Linked DNA regions of Coturnix japonica. The protein of the gene in region 1 purifies or fractionates together with the protein of each later gene. This does not show direct contact. Links are inferred from orthologs where the notes say so. Each region holds a gene or a part of one and is shown on either strand. Other genes may lie near its edges. The genes, in order: XRN2 and CDKN2AIP.

The links.
Region 2: the proteins of XRN2 (region 1) and CDKN2AIP purify together in Homo sapiens (affinity purification with mass spectrometry; 4 studies listed by BioGRID and IntAct, with this or other methods). This does not show direct contact. The link is inferred for Coturnix japonica from reciprocal best matches to the Homo sapiens genes XRN2 and CDKN2AIP.

The regions. Positions count from the first base shown.
Region 1 is NC_029518.1:4,203,501-4,207,310, forward strand, and holds part of XRN2 (5'-3' exoribonuclease 2), read left to right. Parts: intron 1-865; coding exon 866-973; intron 974-1,048; coding exon 1,049-1,138; intron 1,139-1,562; coding exon 1,563-1,635; intron 1,636-3,677; coding exon 3,678-3,761; intron 3,762-3,810. UniProt on the Homo sapiens protein: Possesses 5'->3' exoribonuclease activity. May promote the termination of transcription by RNA polymerase II.
Region 2 is NC_029519.1:35,251,174-35,255,647, reverse strand, and holds the start of CDKN2AIP (CDKN2A-interacting protein), read left to right. Parts: upstream 1-1,564; 5' UTR 1,565-1,675; coding exon 1,676-1,896; intron 1,897-2,036; coding exon 2,037-2,167; intron 2,168-2,961; coding exon 2,962-4,474. UniProt on the Homo sapiens protein: Regulates DNA damage response in a dose-dependent manner through a number of signaling pathways involved in cell proliferation, apoptosis and senescence.

The DNA.
Region 1 (3,810 bases):
AATACCTTCTCAGCCTGCAACAAATACTGTTCAGATACTCATATAATGTGGAGTGCATCATATCAGGGTTTTCTGGTCCCTCATATTCTCAAGCTAACAGTGGGATTTAGCTTGGAAAAACAGTGCTGCAAATTGTATGCTGCCAGAGAAATACTACTACTACTCCTCTTAAGATCTCTGTTATGGCTTTGACTTGTGCAATTATGCTATTATGGAGAACTTGTGGATTAGTTCTCTCACTCTCAGATATGCTAGAAACTCTACGCAGGTTTAAAATGTGTCTAGTTGCTCTAAGTCACCCCAGGGCATTGTTAACTGTGTGGATAGACTGTGATCACCTGCTCTTGGCAAGACATTTTTGTGTTTGGTTTTATTGGATGCTTTTTTGTGTGTGTTTGTGTTCTCTCTCAAGGGGGAGGAAATAAGCATGAGGTATGTTGCAGCGTCCTGAAGTTAAGGTTAAGATTATGCTGTAAGGTCTTTTGTATTGTTATGGTGCTAGGTCTATCTCTTTGGCTGTCTCCCTTAGTGACTCAGACCTAGCACATAGCAGGAGTACTCTGGCAGAGAAGTCTATCTGCTGTTCTGTGCTGCCAAGGAAATGCCCGAGGTCTCCATTCACTATCCACTGAACTCACTCGCTCTAATCTGGCTATGAAAAATTAAGTCCCAACCTGAAGTCCAGAATACCTTTAGAGGCAAGAGCTCTTTCTTTTCTAATTGTGGGGACTTCTCTTTCTCCTGGTTGATGCTGGGCTAAGTTTTAACAAGTTTAGTTACTGGGCTGTTTGATTTCTATGTTTTTTTTTTTTTCCTTTGCACGTTTGAGTTGTCTCATGGTATTTCTCTTGTTTTGATGTCCTAGGGCTGTGCCTCTTGGAACTGGTATTACCCTTTTCACTACGCTCCGTTCGCTTCTGACTTTGAGGGTATTGCAGACATGCCCTCAGATTTTGAAAAGGGCTCGAAACCGGTAGGGCATATTTATTTATTTATGATTTAACAGCTTGCTAGAAATATCCTACATCTGCTGGTTTACTTTTGACAGTTCAAGCCTCTTGAACAACTGATGGGAGTATTTCCAGCTGCAAGTGGGAATTTTCTACCCCCAACCTGGAGGAAGCTCATGACAGATCCGGTAAGAATCCTTGGTTTATTCCTCTCTGTGAGGGTTTTGCTGCCTTGCAGTTTTTATGTGATCATTACTTGCTGCTTTTGACTTCAGGCAGAAAAGAGACTATTTAAAGATCCTTACAGGCAATTCCTTTTTTGAATCAGAGTTTTCAACAAGGAAGAATTATTCTGTAACTTCTCTGAAACTCATCTGGGGAGCAGAGACCAGTTGTCAGGAGTTCTCCTATCCCACTTAATTTCTTGTTCTGATATTGTAGGCAATGGGAATGCCCTACCAGACTTCTTATTTAAATGGTATTTAGTAAGGGGTGTTTCTCTTAGTCAAAGTTCTTTGCATGTTCCTTACTGAGTGTGAGCTAACAGTTAACACGTGGCATTCTCAGTCAATTCCATAATTGGTTTTAATGATAAATTTTTCTCAAATACAGGAATCAAGCATAATTGACTTCTACCCTGAGGACTTTGCTATTGATCTGAATGGAAAGAAGTACGCTTGGCAAGGTGAAACTTGAGGTTTCTTCTTTTGAACTACTATACATTGGCCTGCAAAAATATGAAGGAAAATGGGAAATGATGCTAGTGAGATAATGACATACCAAGTAACAAGGGTAACTTGTCTTACCTGGTGTGGGGGAGAGGTATTTTGCAGCAGCTGTATTTTTGAGAAGGAATTTCCGCGAGTAATAAATTATGATTTAGAAACTGATATGGGATTGGCAATGGTTAGCAGTTATTTCAGCAGTTGTTCTAGATTTGTTAATTTGTCCTGAGTTAGATTAATCACTTTTCTGTTTTCATTAGTCGTACTATGTTATTGTCTCTTGTCCTTGCATTTAACTAATAGATCTTATTGTGTTTGATCAACAGCTTGTTAGTGCCTAGTGAAAAATGCTTAGTAATACAGAAATACTTGAATGTGTACAGAGAATGAGGAAATAGATACGGTATTAGAGTCTCTTCCTTTAGACAATATTAGTTTTAATGAGCTGCCAATTTTTTCTATCTGGTATTCAGCCAGCAGTGTAACAGCTCTGTTAGATGTATAAATCATGATTGGGGCACAAACTGAAACTCAGGAAGTTCCATCTGAACATAATAAAGCACGCTTTTATTTTTCCTTTGAGGGTGGTCTAACACTGGTACATGCTAACCTGGAGAAGTTGTAGATTCTCTATTGTCACAGATGCTTCTAAGCCAACTGGACATAGTCTTGGACAACCTATGATTGTGCTTGAGGAGGGGTTTGGATAAGATTGTCTCCGGAGGTTTCTGCTAACATCTATGCTGCTGTGGTTCCTTCTCTAAATCATTTCATCTGTGCTTTGAAATAGCCAGCTAGAGACACCAGTGACTTAAATCCAGATAGTGAACCAAAATCAAAGAGAATAGACCTGAGTGTTATATGTTGCTTAGCATGTTTTTGCTCTGCGACGTGAAGGTCTTTTTTACCCCCTGATGCAGTTCAGGCAATTGTCTTTATTCCTTTTGTCTGGTTATCAAATGTACAGTTTAAAACAGTATTTTAAGTAGTAGGAAACTATTGGGTATCATTGGTAGGAAGCTCATCAGTAGAAGCAAGCTGTTGTCATGGTCAGATAAAGCTCTGCTGTTTGTGGTAAGGGAAATGAAATTAAAAACTAGAATAAGAACTCTAGATTAAAACCTATAGTAAAGGTGACGGAATTAAATCTTTTAAAGAATTTCTATGGTAAACTTCTTAGTGCTTTTTAGAGCTGATAATTGAAGAAAAATACTGGAACACCCCGGGGATAACTGTTCTCCAGTTTTATCAAATATGATGAAGAATGGGCTCAGAGAAGTGTTGTGAGATGTGCTGCTTAGTGAGGAATTTTGGTCCTGAGAGGAGCCTCCCTGTTACTTGGGAGTGAAACTAATAGCTAATATGAATAGTCCCTAATGAATTATATAATCTGCATCACCACATGTCTGAACACAGTGATTTCTTCTGTTGTTATCTCCTAATAAATTGAATAAAGTAGAATCGAATTCTGTGGGGAGAGTATCTTTAGCAAATGAGATAAATAATGACTGTCTTAATGACCTCATCTTATTCCTAAATGAAGCAGATATGGGTAGGGGATGCTGCTTCTAAGTGTCTCTCTCCACAGACTGTGAGAAGGGAGGAGGATAAAGGAGTGCTCAGACATGAGTATTCTCTTCTGTCCTATACTACTTTTCCTCCTCTCCTTGGCAGCCTGCAGGGTCCCAGAAACTGATTTTATTGTTATTATTATTTTATCATACTGATGGAACTGTAAGGTAAAGCATTTATTCAGACTTTCCATGCTAGTATCTTTACATGGATAGCCATTCACAAACACCCATTTATCATTCCTGAAACCATAGCTGCTCAGAACACATCAGTTCAGACTCATCTTTTCTCTGCTCTTTACTACAGTGCCTTAGAAAGCTGAAATGTTTGGGCTGTCTATTTCAAGCTTTTCCCAGTCAGTCAGTTTAGAGAGCTTTGGTTTAAAGCATCATTAGTTGCTTGTTGAAATGGGATGATTTGATTTTCATAGGTGTTGCGTTATTGCCATTCGTTGATGAGCGACGCCTTAGAGCTGCCTTGGAAGAAGTCTATCCTGACCTTACTCCTGAAGAAAGTAAGACTTACACTGTTTTGTTGTCACTGTGTTGTCAGAACTTGCTTTT
Region 2 (4,474 bases), on another chromosome or scaffold:
TATGTGTCTAATTCTCAGAGAGCACGGCGGGTAGACAACTGTATGTCTGTGTGAGCACGTGCACGACATTCCACACTCTGGGGCTGAGATCTGGCCTGCTTCCAGCATGACACCAGCACTTGGTCGCCTTTGTCCCAAGAGAAAGGCTATGTTGATTCAGAAGCAGCATTGATTAACCACAAATAAAGGGTACAACGTGCTAGAAAGGTGCCAGAGCCCAGAAGATGCTCACAAAAACTTTTTGTGGCACAGAAGCGGGAAGGATTCTGACTTCTCCAGCTGTCATCTGTGGTTGTGTTCACCCATATGGTCAGAGGGCAAGGAAGCAGTCTCTTAAGTCGGGGAAAAAAATGTTGTTCTAATCAGTTCCCGAGTCACTCTAGAACTAGATAATGTGTCAGGCCTTCTAGCTGTACAGAGTGCAATACAGTCCTCAGAAGGATGCCTTTGGAGGAGCCCAGGTCTCACAGGTGAGACCATGTTACCTTACATGCATGGAGTGACCAAGAGCAGACACAAAATTCTCAACTGTGGGGGGCTATCTCTGATGTTTGGCACCAGGAGGCATCATTTCACCAGCAAGCCTGGAAATACCACTTCTGGAATCTCTCCAAGTGTATGGCATTGCCCCTGCCACTCTCTAGAGTCTAATTCACCCAAACTGCTACTCTTAAGTGGTAAGATACTAACCTAGCGTGGACTGGTCCTCAGTAGTTTCACTTGGCAGCTGAGTTGGCTGTGGAGCATTCAAGGTTGTGCTGAGAGCTCTGCTACGTTCACAAGATGACCAGTAACTCAGCAACAGCTACCCAGACCTGCCTGAATTCTTGCCATCCCTGAAGAGCAGCTTTCAAGTCTGGACCAAGCCCTAGCTGTGTTTGTTAGAAAGAGGACTGGTTCTTTGGAGAGCGTTACCAGAACGGCCAGCAGCATGGAGAGCTGGAGAGCACCCTGAGGCCTGTTTGCTAGGGCTTCCATTCCATTGGCCTTTGCCTTTCAGTGTCTGTATTAACTCTGAAGTGAAGAATTGTGGTAGCACGGAGTCAGAGGCATGGAAGACAGGTCCGCCCCATCTCCACATGGAACAACCTGAGTGCCAGTTGCATCCTTCAGGTATTTCAGGTTATTCTGCCTGATAACCCCCACAGGATGGACTGACATCTGGATAGAGTAGTGACACCACACCGGTGATGCGCATGGTGCCATTTCTGAACGTCCTGACACTGTGAATGAAGCCATGTCACTGAGTCCCCCACACAAGGCGCTGCCCTTTCCTTGCTCTTTGTGCCAGGTCCCCCTTCATGCCCGTGACCATTTGTTTGCTCCTGGCACGAGAGAACAGCGGGTGCGTTAACCGACAAAACAAAGGAAACACTTCCGTTCAGACCACGAGGACTGAGAAATCCCGCCGTATCTTTTCCACAGCCCAAACAAAGCCGCAGTGAAACCCGCAGCACGAGCGCCCTCCAGAGGGCGGCAGCGGCACATCCCGCTCTGCCCCGCCCCGCCCACGGCCGTTGCAGCCGTTGTGTCGGGGCCGCCCCTCGCGCCGGTTGTGAGGTCATCGCGCGCGGCCGGAAGGAGCGGGCGGTCGCCGAGCCGTTGTTCCGCCGCGGGGCCTGGCGAGCGGAGCGGGCGGGGCGGAGCGGGCCCCGCGCGGGCGGAAGGAGCGGCCATGGTGAGCAGGACGGCGGGCGAGCCGCTGGGCAGGACGGACGAAGAGGTGGCTTGGGCGGAGGCGCTGCGCGGGGCCTGCGAGCCCGAGCACCACTGGCGGTACCGGCGCGAGTTCCTGCTGCGCAATGTGGGCGAGCCGCCCGCGGCCGGCAGCGCCCAACTGCGGCGCCTCGTCTCCCTGTCCATGGTGTGGGCCAACCACGTCTTCCTGGGCTGCCGGTGAGTGCGCGGCGGGCGGGCGGGCGGGGGCGGCCGAATGGCTGGCGGCTGACGGCGCTCCTCCCCTCCTCCCCATCCTCCTCATCCTCCTCATCCTCCTCCTGTACGTCCCCCCTCCCGTCCCGCTGTCGCCCCTGCAGGTACCCGCCTCAGGTCACGGAGAAGGCGCTGGAAATGGCCGAAGGCATCCAAGTGACCGGCGCGCCCGTCCACACCACGAGAGACGAACTGGTTGCCAAGGTGAAGAAAAGAGGCATATCAAGTAGCAATGGTTAGCAGATAATAGCTGTGACAATACATAGGAGTCTAGAATATGCTTGTGTTGAATGTGCTAGCTTGGCCACGGGTTGACAAAGTAACGGGACGGCTGACTTTTAAAACTCCTCCTTATTTTTTTCCCCTTCTTTTTACTTGTTGATGCCTTTAAAACAAACGTAATGCATATACATTCAGTTGGCAATATCGAGCTCTTTTGATGGCAGTAACACTTCTACAGCTGTTGCCAGCTCCTTTAACATGATGTGGGTGGTTGTACTGTAGCTTATGTGTGTTCTTGTCTGCCTGGTGCTGAAAGCAAAGTAACATTAAAGCTTTGTGAGAAACTCGGTCTTTTGTTTCTTAAAAAAATATCCTAAAATAGTATTTTAAATACATGTTCATGATATTACTTAACAAAATACGCTTATTTTTAAGGTCAGCTAATATGTTAAATCTACTTTGGTCACTTTTGCTTTGGCCTTCAAGAATGCAAATACGTATGGGCCTTCAGATCCCAAACTGAAACTGAAAGTGTAGCGTATGGCTGCTGTTTGTTGGGGTTTTTTTTTTGCCAAACAAATGTTAAAATGATTTGAAACAGTAGGTTGTGTTTCCAATTTTTGTGTCAAAAATTACTAAAATATTCTGAAATAGTGGATAATTATTTGAAATTGCAATTGAAGGTATATTCCCAATAAATACATTTAATATTTGGAGGGATGACTGCTGGGTTTTTTTAGAAAATAAGATAAATCGCTTCACGGTGCAGAAACCCAAAGAGAATAACGTACCTGCCTTGTTTTGCAGAAGGGGTAGAGGAGCCCGCCAAGAAGCGAGCTGTTGAGAAATGCAAAGAATCTAAGGACACTGGACAAGATGTGAAAACAACCAAGGCTGAAGTCCCTATGGAAACAGAGAGCCCGTTGCCCAAAAAGCAGGATAAAGATACGAGCAAAGATTCGGAAAGCTCCCTGTCAACTTGCAGTTCAAATCAAGAAGCACTCACCACATCCATTGCAAAAGCAGAAGAAAAGCCTACTACTAATGCTGAACATACTGTTGAGCAAAGCCCAGCACCATCTTCATCAGAAAAAGAAGCAGGAGAGATTCCATCTAAGGAAGGCAAGTGTGAAAATGTGCCATCACCTGAAAAAGCTACGTTAAGTTCAGGGTCACCGACTGCTGCCCCACAGGCGGTAGCGGTGCCATCGGCTGCCAGCACTAGCGCCCTGCAGGCACCGGCAGTGCCGCCAGCTGCCACCAACAGCACCCCTCAGGCAGCAGTGCCACCAGCTGCCACCACTAGTGCCCCGCAGGCAGCAGAGGTACCAACAGCTGCCGCCAACAGCGCCCCACTGGTGGCAGAGGTGGCACCAGCTGCCACAAACAACGCCTCGCAGGCAGCAACGGTGCCAGTGACCCCTACCAAGAGCACCCCGCAGGCGGCATCAGTGCCGCCAGCTGCTGCCAAGAGCACCCTGCAGGCAGCATCGGTGCCGGTGACTGCTACCAAGAGCACAGCACAAACAAGTGCTGCATTGCTGTCTTCCAAAACCCAAGTGAGTGGTCTACCATCCGTGTCCAAGAGCGGCGCTCAGGCGGGCCCCTCTCTGCTGCTGGCCGCCAAGGGCAGCGCTCAGGCAGGCACATCACTGCTGCTAGCGCCCAAGAGCGGCACCCAGGTGGGAGCCTCGCTGCTGCTGGCTTCTAAGGGCACTGCCAAAGCGGGTTCCTCGCTCCTGGCCTCCAAGAGCAGTGCGGAGGTGGCTGCCTCATTGCTGGCTGCACGGAGCGGCACGCAGCAGGGTGCCTCGCTGCTCACCTCCAAGAGCAGCGCTCAGGCGGCAGCATCTCTGCTGGCCGCTCGCAGTGGTGCACAGCAAGGCCCCTCCCGCATCGGGGCTCAGGCTGCCAAGAGTACACAACTTGCTTCCAAGAGTGGTTCGCAGGCCAGCGAAGGCCCTGCTAAAGCTTTGTGCAAACCGTTAACCAGTGAAGATGCAAAGGAAAGACAGCCTTTTTTCAACAGACTGTATAAGGCCGTAGCGTGGAAACTGGTTGCTGTGGGAGGCTTTAGTCCTAATGTAAATCACGCGGAACTTCTTAACTCGTCTATCCAATCTGTCAAAGCTACGTTAGATGTCGCTTTCGTTCCCCTGAAGGAACTTGCAGACTTACCTCAAAATAAGAGCTCTCTGGAAAATATAGTTTGTGAACTGAGGTGCAAGTCTGTGTATTTGGGTACTGGCTGTGGTAAAAACATGGAAAACGCCAAAGCAGTTGCTTCAAGAGAAGCTTTGAAATTGTTCCTCAAGAAGAA